Oryzias latipes: one gene and its partner. The protein of the gene in region 1 purifies or fractionates together with the protein of each later gene. This does not show direct contact. Links are inferred from orthologs where the notes say so. Each region holds a gene or a part of one and is shown on either strand. Other genes may lie near its edges.

Region 1 (4,711 bases):
ACAGCTTCCTGGATGACGTCTGGCCTCCCGAGCTTGGAGCTCCACCCCTCCCTGCTGACTTCAGCGCTTTGGACTGGAGCTCCGCCTCCTGCCTGAGCGGGAACCACTTCTCCCAGCTGACAGCTGCTGCTGTCCTTCATCTCCACGGGTTTGGCCTGATTTTCTCTCCTTTGGGTGTGAGAGGAGTCGGACTGGTTCTTCCGGTCGCTGCTCGTCTTTCTCCTCTGCTTCGGTGACTTGGTTTGCAGCTCAGGGAGACTCGGGGACAAGCTGGACTGAGAGGACAACCAGCCCAGAGAGAAGACCCTCTCCAGGTCTTTGGGCGAAGGATTGCCTGAAACGAAACCGTTGGGGATCAGCATGAGGCCGTCTTGACCGTTACCGACACGTTGACCACTAGAGGGCGACGCGTCTGGAGGCAGGACTCACCGTTCAGCAGCTCCTGGTCCAGCAGGACCACCTGCTGCTGCAGGATCTGCTCCTGGACTTTCCACAGGGAGCGCTTGATCTTCTCCCTCCGGGTCACCATGTAGGTCAGGTTCCGGACCTGGAAGCAACAGCAGCTTCTATAGAGATCACCATGACTTCACACAGCAGAACCCGGAGCTTTACGACGTCTTCCTGTTCGTTTGTCACAGAGACTGAGCCGCTCCACCGGCGGCCCGCAGCTGCAGTGAAGCATCAGAACAGGGAGATGCTGGGGGAGCAGAGTCCTCCCATCACCCCCCCCTCTACAGGCTGCAAACACGCCGTGTCTCACTGGGTTTTTATTCAGTCGACTTCAGAGCTTTGTCTGGCCCGTCCCCTGACCGTCTTCTCCCCCTCGCCCCCCAGAAACCTACCCTCTCCAGGTCCTGCCTCAGGTGGGTGAAGAGCTGGAGGCGGCGCAGCAGGACCTCCTGCTCCCGTCGCGCCAGGCTCTCCTCTTCATCCTTCTTGGGCGTGAGGAGCGGCTGGTTGAAGTTGGCTTTGCGTTTCAGCTTCCAGTACTGGTAGAGGAAGTCCAGAACCTCTGGGGGGAGCTTCAGGCTGCCGGCCACCTCCTCCACCTCCACAAACCGGTAGAAGTCTTCCTCCATCTCCTGCAGCTTCAGCTTGCGGAGGCTGACTCTTTTCTCCTGCTGGCTGAGGCCTTCCTGGTCGTAGGACGGCAGAGGGTAGGAAGACGCGTCTCCCCCCCGTGTCACCCCACCCTTCCTGCCTTTTTTATGGCCGGCGGCTTCCTCCTCCTCCTCCTCGTCCTCCGACTCCTGGTCTCGCGGCTCCGCCCCTTGGTGTCCGGAGTGTTTGGGGCAGAAGGACTTGAACTTCACCTCGTCGTCCTCAGTGAGGATGGTGTTCATTTCCAGGTTGGCCTGAAGGCCACACGTCACGTGGAAGGCAGTCCGGCAGTTTTTGGCTGAGCACTACGAAGAAACACACCGACAGTCAGATGTCGGGCTGAAATCAGAGCTGAAGTGGGTTTTTAAACGGTTCACAAACCAAACCCTGTTTTTAATCATCACCAAACATCACATCTATACCACATTTCCTAGTTTTTCCAAATGAAAACAGGATGATCCGTTACAGCAATTATCTGATAACGGGTGATCCCGTCTGCTACGTCCTGCTGAACTGGGCTGTGGAGGTGAGCGGCAGTGGCGGCGGGGGCGGTACCTGGATGCAGGCCCCGGCCTTCTCTTTGCACAGGCAGCAGATCAGAGCCCATCTGTTGCTGGGAATGTGGGACACGTTGGTGATGGGCTCCATCTTCTCTGGGTTCCCGATGCTCACCTGCACGGCAGGACGGACGCGTCACGCACCAGCAGGTAAACACACCATGACGGGGGGGCGGGGCTGACCCTCACCTCTGGGATCCACAAGGCACAGCTGACGTGGACCCACTTGGTTCCACTCCGGGTCGGCTTCATGGCCCCCCCCTTCTTGGGACACAGCTGGCATTTCGGGAGGATGCCGAGCGCACAGATCCGGCACAGCCAACTGCCTTGGGGGACCTTCTGGATGCCGTAGCAGGCCTGAGGAGAAGGGGAGGGTTTCATGTTAGTGGGTCAAAGGTCAGAGTTTTTCACAATGTTAGGAAAGAGAAAGACTAAATATTCAGAGTGTGGAGGCTCCGCCCTCCATCCGCTGACCTGGTGAACGCAGATGTTGCACTTGTCACAGAACACCATCTCATTGTTGTCCTCGCCGTCCGGCGACTGGCAGACGTCGCACACCACGTCCTCGTCGTACTCGATGCCCAGCCCCTCCTCCGTCTCCATGGCGTGCGTCATGTTATCGTAGCAGCGGCGCTCAAACTCCTCCATCGCCCGCTCCATGGTGTTCTCGTCAAGCAGAGGCAGGCCTGGAACGGCAGCAGAACGGCGTCAGCAAATGATCCGGAGATCTGACTGGAGACCAGGGGTCGCTGTGGACCCCAGCGCTGAACATCTGAAACCGGGTCATTTGTGTCCGTTTGCATGTTTAGTGAACCTCTCTGGTCTCTGTAAGCATCGAAACCTACAGCACTTGCAGCAAAGACCACAAGTCCTGGGTTGCTTTACATGTTTGAGCTCCAGAACTGAAGAGCTGAATTTTCCCGACCAGAAGCAGCGTTCATGAAGGTAGCAAAGGTCGTGACCCTGAAACTTCACCGCATTTTGACGTGTTTTGGTGACGGACAGACGGGTAAAGCTGCTGTCGCTTCAGTGATCCACAGCTGAGCTGTTTTTCTGGTTCTCCCTCTCCAACTAGATTTTTATTGATTGTAAAACTGGTCCCAGTGGTTTTTTAATCAGGATTGTGCCGTTTATCGCAAAATGCAAAAAGCAGACAGATTTTCTGCAGACGTTAGAAATTCCTGCCTGGGTTGTGGGCTGACTGTTGGCATGGAAGTAGCCCTATGTTGATATCCCATCATGCCTTTGTTTACACTCTCTCCTGTTAGCTTCCAGCACCTCACAACCCCAAGCTAATGTTAGCATAGCACAAAAACAGCGAGCAATTTCAGAGCTATCCGGCAGTACAGTTTAGATCCAGATTCCAGCTCAGACCAGGAAAACACAGACGTTCATGGATCTGTTGGCGTGCAAATGGAGGATTTGGAATTAGGGCGGAGCAGGGAGACTTTGGCCCCGCCCATGGCAGCTGCTGTGTCAACAAACCTCAGCTTTTTCAAACGTCTGCTCCTGATCCATCACCATTTGAATACAGAAATACTCAAAAATGGAGTTTTAATCTTGAAATGTCTTTATAAATGTCCTCCATCATGAGAAAAGAACATGTTAAAAACACAATTTTCAATGCCGCGGGTCTTAAAGTCTCCTGTTCACAAGTTGGAATCAACGCATGCCAAACTCACCCATCTCTGCAAACTCCTCGTTGACGATCTGCAGCCAGGCCACGTCCTCCTCGTTCAGGTCGTAGCGGCACACCCCGTCTGCCAGCGTGCGGATGTCCACGTATCCCAGCGCCTCCGTGCCAGACGTGCGGATCAGCTTCTTTGGCCTGATGAACATGAGCTCCTTCTCTTTTTCCACCAACACTCTGCAGAACACGGCACATGTTTCCAACCCACGACTCAGGCCCAGACCGCGTCATCCACGAAGGGGTTTTTAAAAGTTGACGCGGGTTTTCTGAAAACACGGGGACTCGTGGAGACAACGGGGTGCGTGGTACCTGGTGACGGGCTGTGGGATGGACTGCGGACTGACAGGAACCTGGACTCCCTTCTCCCACTCCTGCCTCCACGGGTCGGCGAGCACAAAGTAGTCCTCTGGGTTGAGCGGATGGGAGTCGTGTAATTTCATGGCGGTGATCAGGTCCGTCCTAAAAACCTGCCGCACAAGCGAACGCGCTCAGTTACAGCCCGTCTGCCCCCACTAGCTAAAACACAACACCCGTTCTCACTGTAAACTTTGGAAAAATTGGACAAATATCATAAAAAATGACCTAACAACTATTAGTTGTTCCATATAAATGTTTAACTGAAGGCCAGAAATGTAAAAAACAGGATTTAAAAAATTGCAACAGCAGCAAAAAGCCACCAATAGGAAGGCAGTGATAGATTGTGTGACTTGCAGGAACAAAGTCCACACGCTGTTCAGAAGATAAGAGAAGTTTCCATCCACACATGCTAAGCTCTGGAACTTAGATAGTCAGCCTTTCCTTACACCGTCTGCTCAAAGACACTTGATGTGCTCCAGTTTTTACTTATTAACAAATTCAAAGCAGAAAAAGCTGCTTTGGAGTGAAAAACCACATCCAGATGACCCTCTTTCTTGGCATGGAACCATCCTGGATGAAGGAGAGTCTTCACAGATCACACAATGGCAGCCCACGGCTTGCAAATACACAACGCAGCCGTCAAGAAATGCTGACGTACCTCAGAGGGTTTCTGCCCGCCGCCCCTCCGGTGCTGCGACGAATGAGACCAGCAGGTGGAGCTACCTGAGGGACAAACATGGCAGAGTTTAGTCCTGCTGCTCAGACAAACAACTCACAAAAACAATCAGACCAGAAAGTGGGAAGGAGAGTTTCTTAAACCTCTGAAAGGTTTGGTTTTCTGCTGCAAAATCCCAGAAAATGGAAGCAGAGGAGGCTGCTATCAGTCCCTACCAGTTGTTTCTGTTTGTTTGACTGCGTCCATAAAGATAAGACAGTCCAAACACCATCATTTACTTCTGACAAACAGAAGGTCTTAACCGGTTGACCTCGGTTTTCCTCTATGTGA
Region 2 (6,379 bases), on another chromosome or scaffold:
CCAACCACTCTTCCTGATCAGGAGTGAGCCTGTTTCAAGTCTACACCTCCACCACTTGATTCTCGGGAGAATCTGTCAAACGTTTTGAATGTGTAAACTTGAAATACAGAAAAAATGTTGTGAAAAACTAGGACTAGCAAGAAAATGCTAAAAATAAAAAGTTGCAGAGCGGGATGGTCTTTGGGATTTTGGCTTCTTGAAACCAGCAGGTACTTCCCATTTTAAACGGGAGGGGGAGGCGTCACTCAGTCCAGTTCTCATGTACAGTCAATGGTCAAAAATATACTTAAATAATAAAAGTTTGTACAGAAGGAAAGACTACTCTTATGAGTACACTTTACAAAAGATGCTTAAACTCCTGTGTGTTTATGTGTGTGTGCAGAGCTGTAATGAAGAGGGGTTGACAGGTAAGGAAACCAGTGAGCCGACAGACGAGGAGCTGACATGCTTTCAGCACCAACAGAGGCGTTCACATGCAGAGTAGAACACGCTGCTTCAGGTCACACAAGCAGGGGGCTGGGGGGGTGGAGGTCAGGTGGAGGGGGCGGGGGACAAAGGAGCAGGAAGTAAAATCTGGACTTACTCGAAGTCATAATCAAACATGGCAGAAGGGCTGAGGGAGCGGCGTTATGGGAAGGAAGAGAGCAGCAGCAGTTAGTTCAGACTCTACAGAACTACCGGAGGGAACTCTGCGGTTCTGACAGAACTTCAGAGTCCACCTTCAACGTTCCTGGAGCCGCCAGAGTGAGACCTCTCTGAAAAGAACTCGTTTACAATCAGCAACAAGCTCGACGGGACATTTGGGATCAGTGGAGGAGTCCCAGCTGATCTGTTTTTTTTTTTTTTTTTTAATGAGCAGAACTTCAAAAAAACACACACAAATCTGGAGATAAAAAGAACAGAGAAAAAGAAAAGTCAAGTCAAGGAAAATGAAGAAATGAAAAACAAAAGCTGAGAACCATCAAGAAGAGGAGAGGCTTCCTGCAAAGAAACAGTCTGAAGGTGATCAATTAAGAGTCCAGATTCAGAAGATCTTCATCTGATATCAAACATTTTATGATCTTCCTGCTTCTACTGAACACAACCACAGGATGAAGATGAAGATCCAACCCAGTCCATTCGTTCAAGTTATCTTTTTTTTTTTAAATCAAACGTTTCAGCCTCAAAAGATCCTCCGGTGCTTCATCATGATCATCATTAGGGCTGCAGCTATCGATTCTTTTTGTAATCGATTAATATAGCACTTAATCGATCGATTAATCGAGTAATCGGATAAAACGATTTGTGTGCGTTTTTGAACAACCAAAACAAATAATGCATAACAAAAATGATGTGGTTGTAAAATGAACAAGCATTTGATTTTAAAGATCCGCTCTGATGCAAATGTTAAGAAGCCTTGCGGTCCGCCGAAAGGCGAGCTACCGCCTGTCCCAGCCCCTGCCTATCGGCGCCCCCTCCACGGCCCGCCGCCCCTCGCTCGCTGCCGGCGGCACGCGCGGGTAAGGCGTCGGGGTTCCAGCGGTCGCGCAGATGTCTTCTGTTCAGATGCTGAATCATGGAAGATGTGCTGTTGTGGAATGCCAGCTCTATTTTGCAGTACAGACACTGCACCTTGTTCTCTTCTTTATTAAGTGTGTAATGATCCCACACTTAAGACAATTTCTGCCGTTTATTTATAGATCTATTCTCCGCCATCGCGCCAACTAAATTCAAAAGGTCCGTGTGACACAATCAAATCCCTGCGTATAGTGCGCGTCATAGGAATGTAACGAGGCTTCGAGGCAGAGTTTTTTCCTCGAGGAAATTTTGTAATCGAGTAAGTCGAGTAACTCGAGGAATCGTTTCAGCCCTAATCATCATCATCATCATCTGTAGCCAGCTTCAGCAATCACACGAGCATTTTTTTTAGGAAATGAACGTTTTCTACTTCAACTTTTTTAGTCAGAAGAAGACGGAAAAAAAAAAAAAAAAAAAAAAAATCACCATATTTTGTAAAAATGTTCAATTATTGTAATTTTTATTAAGTGTAATCTGTTCTCTTGATCTTAATAACACAAATATATTAGTTTGCCTTGTTAAAGCTGTAAATCTCCAAATTTAAACAGAAAAGTTCTGGTGAATCTGCTGCGGCTCAGCTTTAACCCCGCCCACACCTCACCTGTGTCTGTTCTTGTTCTTCCTCTTCTTGTAGCTCCCGTGATGGCTGCCTGAGGAAGAGGAGGCGGCTTTCTGAGGCTTCAGGTCGTGCAGCGTGGAGTCCACGTCCTCCGTGTCCTCCTGACTCGGCTCGTTCTCCTGGTTCTGAAGGTCTGGAGACGCATCGCTCTCTGTGCCGCTGCCGGCCTCACCTGGGGAATCCCCCGGGAGGCAACAAGTCAGAACCGGCATTCTGAGGAGGCCCAGGCACCAGGAAAGTAGGCAAATTTGACTCACGCTTCTCGTTCATGTGATCCGGGATCCCGCCGAGCGCACACACTGCCTGCCAATCACAAGAGACCACTGAGGAGCAACTTCACATGAGATGGCTGAACGCATCACGCGCAGGAAGTACTTACTGCGACGGACGTGACAGAGGACTTGCTGAACAAACGCTCCGCTTCCTTGAACTTGCGATTCCTCCGGTCAGTCTTACTATTGGAGTTCCTGATTGATCGCAGAAAAAGAAAAGGACCCGATCAGCAAACGCACAGAAGATCTAACCTCACCGGAGTCTGCCGCATTCACACTCACTTCTGGTTGGTCAGGTATCGGTCCCACCCTCGGATGATGTTCCCGTACATCTGAGTGTCCTCCAGGTAGCTGCCCTCAAAGGCGTAAATCTGCCGCTCCAGGTTCACCAGCGTCTCCTGTGTCGTTAAAACGGTTTTACTGCAGACGTTCTGATTGGTCAAGCTAAGATCAGTGCTTATCTTTTCACAAAGATAGCTTTTTTAAAATTTATTTCATTCATTTATTTTTACCATCAAAAACTTGAAAATCCTCTTGAGGTTCTGGTAAAGATTGTTTCATTATTTAGCCACTTGAGGTAAACTTTGAATTTTTCAGCTCCAGAATTGGTCTTTCTCTTCCTAGTTGATCAACCCAATCATCTAATTTTCCAATTTATGAACTAAATTCAATGTTTATAGAAATCCACAAGACTGCAGAGTCAGTATACAACTAGAAAAACATTTTCTATCTTTGAAGTGGTAGATGATGGATACATGCATTTATACATTCCAACTAAATTCAAGAAAAATTCCATTTTGAGACTTTTTAATTGAATTTGACGCTTGTTATTGTCAATAAAGGTCAATAAATTGACGGGAAACATCTTTCAAGTACAAGCAAAACATTATTTTAAATAATGTTAAGGAGGCAAAAGTTAAAGAGTAGTCGTCCAAACAATAACAACATGTTAAAAAACGAGTATGTAAACCAAACGAGTATGTAAACCAAAAAAACTACTACTACAGTACTGGGTAATTAAGCAAATTTGTTGTTAAACGTTTTATGTTAGACAAAAAAAGTAATTTTAAGTGACGCACTAGTACTTTACAATAAAGGTCATTTTCCATTACTTAGAGTATTACTAGAAGCACAACTAGAGATGAAAACAGTAAAAGTCGCAAAAAGATAAGAAAAATAACCTATGACAGAAATGTAACGCGATTGTAACTTGGTTTTTCACTACTAAATCTTAGTAGGTTCCACTCTGTAAACAACGGTGTTGAACAATAAAGAGTTTCAAAACGTAAGGTATCGCGAGAACACACTGTTCGTGCTTCAGGTCTGTAAACTAATTTGGATTTTGTTCGTCAAAAAACGTGAAAAAATAAAACATTCAAACATGAAACGCAGAAACACAAACTTTAAATGTTTTTTTCGATGTGAGGATAAAGTGTTTTTGTTCTTGGTCGATGCTTAGTTAGGACAATTCACAATAAAGGTTTTGCGGCCTGCTAGCTCAGCTAGCATAAGCTAATGCTCGGGTATCTCAGCTTGGCGCGCTAAACCCGGGTTCCGAAAAAAAACATTTAACCCGCTGAAACAGAACTGCGGACTCACGGCGAGCTCCTGTTTCCTCTTCACCAGCTCCGCCAGCTCCCGACGCGTGTCCGGGATTTGCGGCGGGGTCGCCTTCGCGTGCATCGACATGATGGCTCGTTCCGGAACCGACGGGAGGAGGCGCGCGCGCTCAGGAAAACTGGAGACGCGTTGGTGCCGACAAAGATAAGACCGCAAGGTGGCGCCCAAGCGTTGTGAAAGGACCCTCTTCCTACCTTGTTTTATACTTGAACTGAGTTCTGGAAAGGTAAATGGAAGAAAGAGACAGTACATAACAGTAATGCCCAGTGGCTGGTCTCTCTGACAAAAGAAAATAGCAACCTCCCTGAACAGAATCCAGTAACCATCACAGTGGCAGACATACAAGAAAGAGTCTCAGGTATGAAAAACTGCACAGCACCGGGCCCTGACATGTTACATGCCTACTGACTAAAGAAGCTCACCGCACTCCACGAGCGTCTGCCAGCACAAATGAACCAGCTGCTCATGGGACTCACCCGAATGGCTAACGGAAGGGCAAACGATCCTGATCTAGACGGATCCCTCAAAGGGTGCAGTCCCAACCAACTATTGCCCAATAACCTGTCTATCCACAACATGGAAGCTCATGTCTGGCATCATTGTAACCAAGATAAATAGGCACATGGATCAATACATGAGCAAACACACAGAAGGGCATTGGTAGAGTCTTCAGAGGAGCCAAACACCAACTCCTGGTTGACAGAACAGTCACTCAAGACTGCAGGTCACGACACACCAACCTGTGCACAGCCTGGATTGATTACAAGAAGGCCTATGACTCAATGCCACACACGTGGATCACTGAATGCTTGGAGCTGTACAACATCAAAAGGACTCTTCATAGGAAATGAAGCCAATGGGAAGCCACTTGCACAAGTGTCCATCAAATTTTGGATATACCATGGTGATGCTCTGTCCCCACAGCTGTTCTGCATAGGTCTGAACCCCCTCAGCCAAATAATCAACAAGACTGGCTATGGATACCGACTCAGAAATGGGGCCAACATCAGTCACCTCCTCTACATGGATGACATCAAGCTATATGCTAAGAGCGAGCGTGACATTGACTCCCTGATCCACACCACCAGGATCTACAGTACTGACATTGGGATGTCATTCGGGCTCGAGAAATGTAGCCGGATGGTGACAAAGAGAGGCAAAGTAGTCCACACAGAAGGGGTCCCACTCCCAGAAGGAACAATGGAAGACATTGAGGAAAGTTACAAGTACCTTGGAATTCCGCAGGCAAATGGCAACCTGGAGCAGGCAACAAGGAAAGCTGCAACAGCTAAATACCTCATACAAGTAAGGCAAGTCCTGAGAAGCCAGCTCAATGGCAAAAATAAGACTCGGGCAACAAACAGCTACGCACTGCCAGTAATCAGATACCCTGCAGGAATAATAAGATGGCCAAAGGAAGAGATACAGACCATGGATGCTAACACACGAAAGCTCCTCACCATGCATGGAGGGTTCCATCCCAAATCCAGCACCCTGAGACTGTATGCTAGCCGCAAGGAAGGAGGCCGAGGACTAGTGAGCGTAGAAGCCACTATCCAGGATGAAACATCCAACATGCATGAATACATCAAGCTCAAGGCCCCAACTGACAGTGTGCTCAGTGAATGTCTCAGGCAATGGAGAGCAAAGGAAGCAGTGGAGGACAGATCCTCATGGGAGGACTGCATGGGATGTACCTACGGAGCATAACTGAAGTGGCGGATGTCAAGAAGTCCTACCAATGGCTTGAAAGGGCTGGCCTACAGGACAGCACCGAAGCACTCATCCTGGCAGCTCAGGAACAAGCCCTGAGCACCAGAGCATAGAGGCTCAGATCTACCACACCAGACAAGACCCAAGGTGTAGGCTGTGCAGAGAGGCGCCTGAAACAATCCAGCACATAACTGCAGGGTGTAAGATGCTGGCAGGTAAAGCATACATGGAGCGCCACAATCAAGTGGCTGGAATAATATACAGGAACATGTGTGCAGAATATGGACTAGAAACCCCAAGGTCAAAATGGGGAAACACCTCCGAAGGTGGTAGAAAATGAGAGGGCAAAGATCCTGTGGGACTTCCAGATCCAGACTAATAGGATGGTAATGGCCAACCAACCAGACATTGTAGTGGTGGATAAAGAACAGAGGAAAGCCGTTGTGGTGGATGTGGCGGTGCCAAGCGATGGGAACATCAGGAAGAAGGAACTTGAGAAACTGGAGAAATACCAGGGACTCAGAGAAGAACTGGAGAAAACATGGAAAGTGAAGGTAACAGTGGTGCCTGTGGTAATTGGAGCACTCAGGGCAGTAAC

The links. The genes of interacting proteins can lie anywhere in the genome.
Region 2: the proteins of jade1 (region 1) and meaf6 purify together in Homo sapiens (affinity purification with mass spectrometry; 5 studies listed by BioGRID and IntAct, counting the BioPlex papers as one, with this or other methods). This does not show direct contact. The link is inferred for Oryzias latipes from reciprocal best matches to the Homo sapiens genes JADE1 and MEAF6.

What each region holds. Positions count from the first base shown.
Region 1 is NC_019880.2:21,646,027-21,650,737, reverse strand, and holds part of jade1 (protein Jade-1), read right to left. Parts: intron 4,429-4,711; coding exon 4,364-4,428; intron 3,816-4,363; coding exon 3,658-3,815; intron 3,526-3,657; coding exon 3,341-3,525; intron 2,345-3,340; coding exon 2,133-2,344; intron 2,016-2,132; coding exon 1,848-2,015; intron 1,774-1,847; coding exon 1,657-1,773; intron 1,407-1,656; coding exon 843-1,406; intron 548-842; coding exon 430-547; intron 335-429; coding exon 1-334.
Region 2 is NC_019869.2:19,899,541-19,905,919, reverse strand, and holds the start of meaf6 (chromatin modification-related protein MEAF6), read right to left. Parts: upstream 4,282-6,379; 5' UTR 4,138-4,281; coding exon 4,048-4,137; intron 2,847-4,047; coding exon 2,731-2,846; intron 2,644-2,730; coding exon 2,556-2,643; intron 2,480-2,555; coding exon 2,434-2,479; intron 2,349-2,433; coding exon 2,159-2,348; intron 614-2,158; coding exon 584-613; intron 1-583.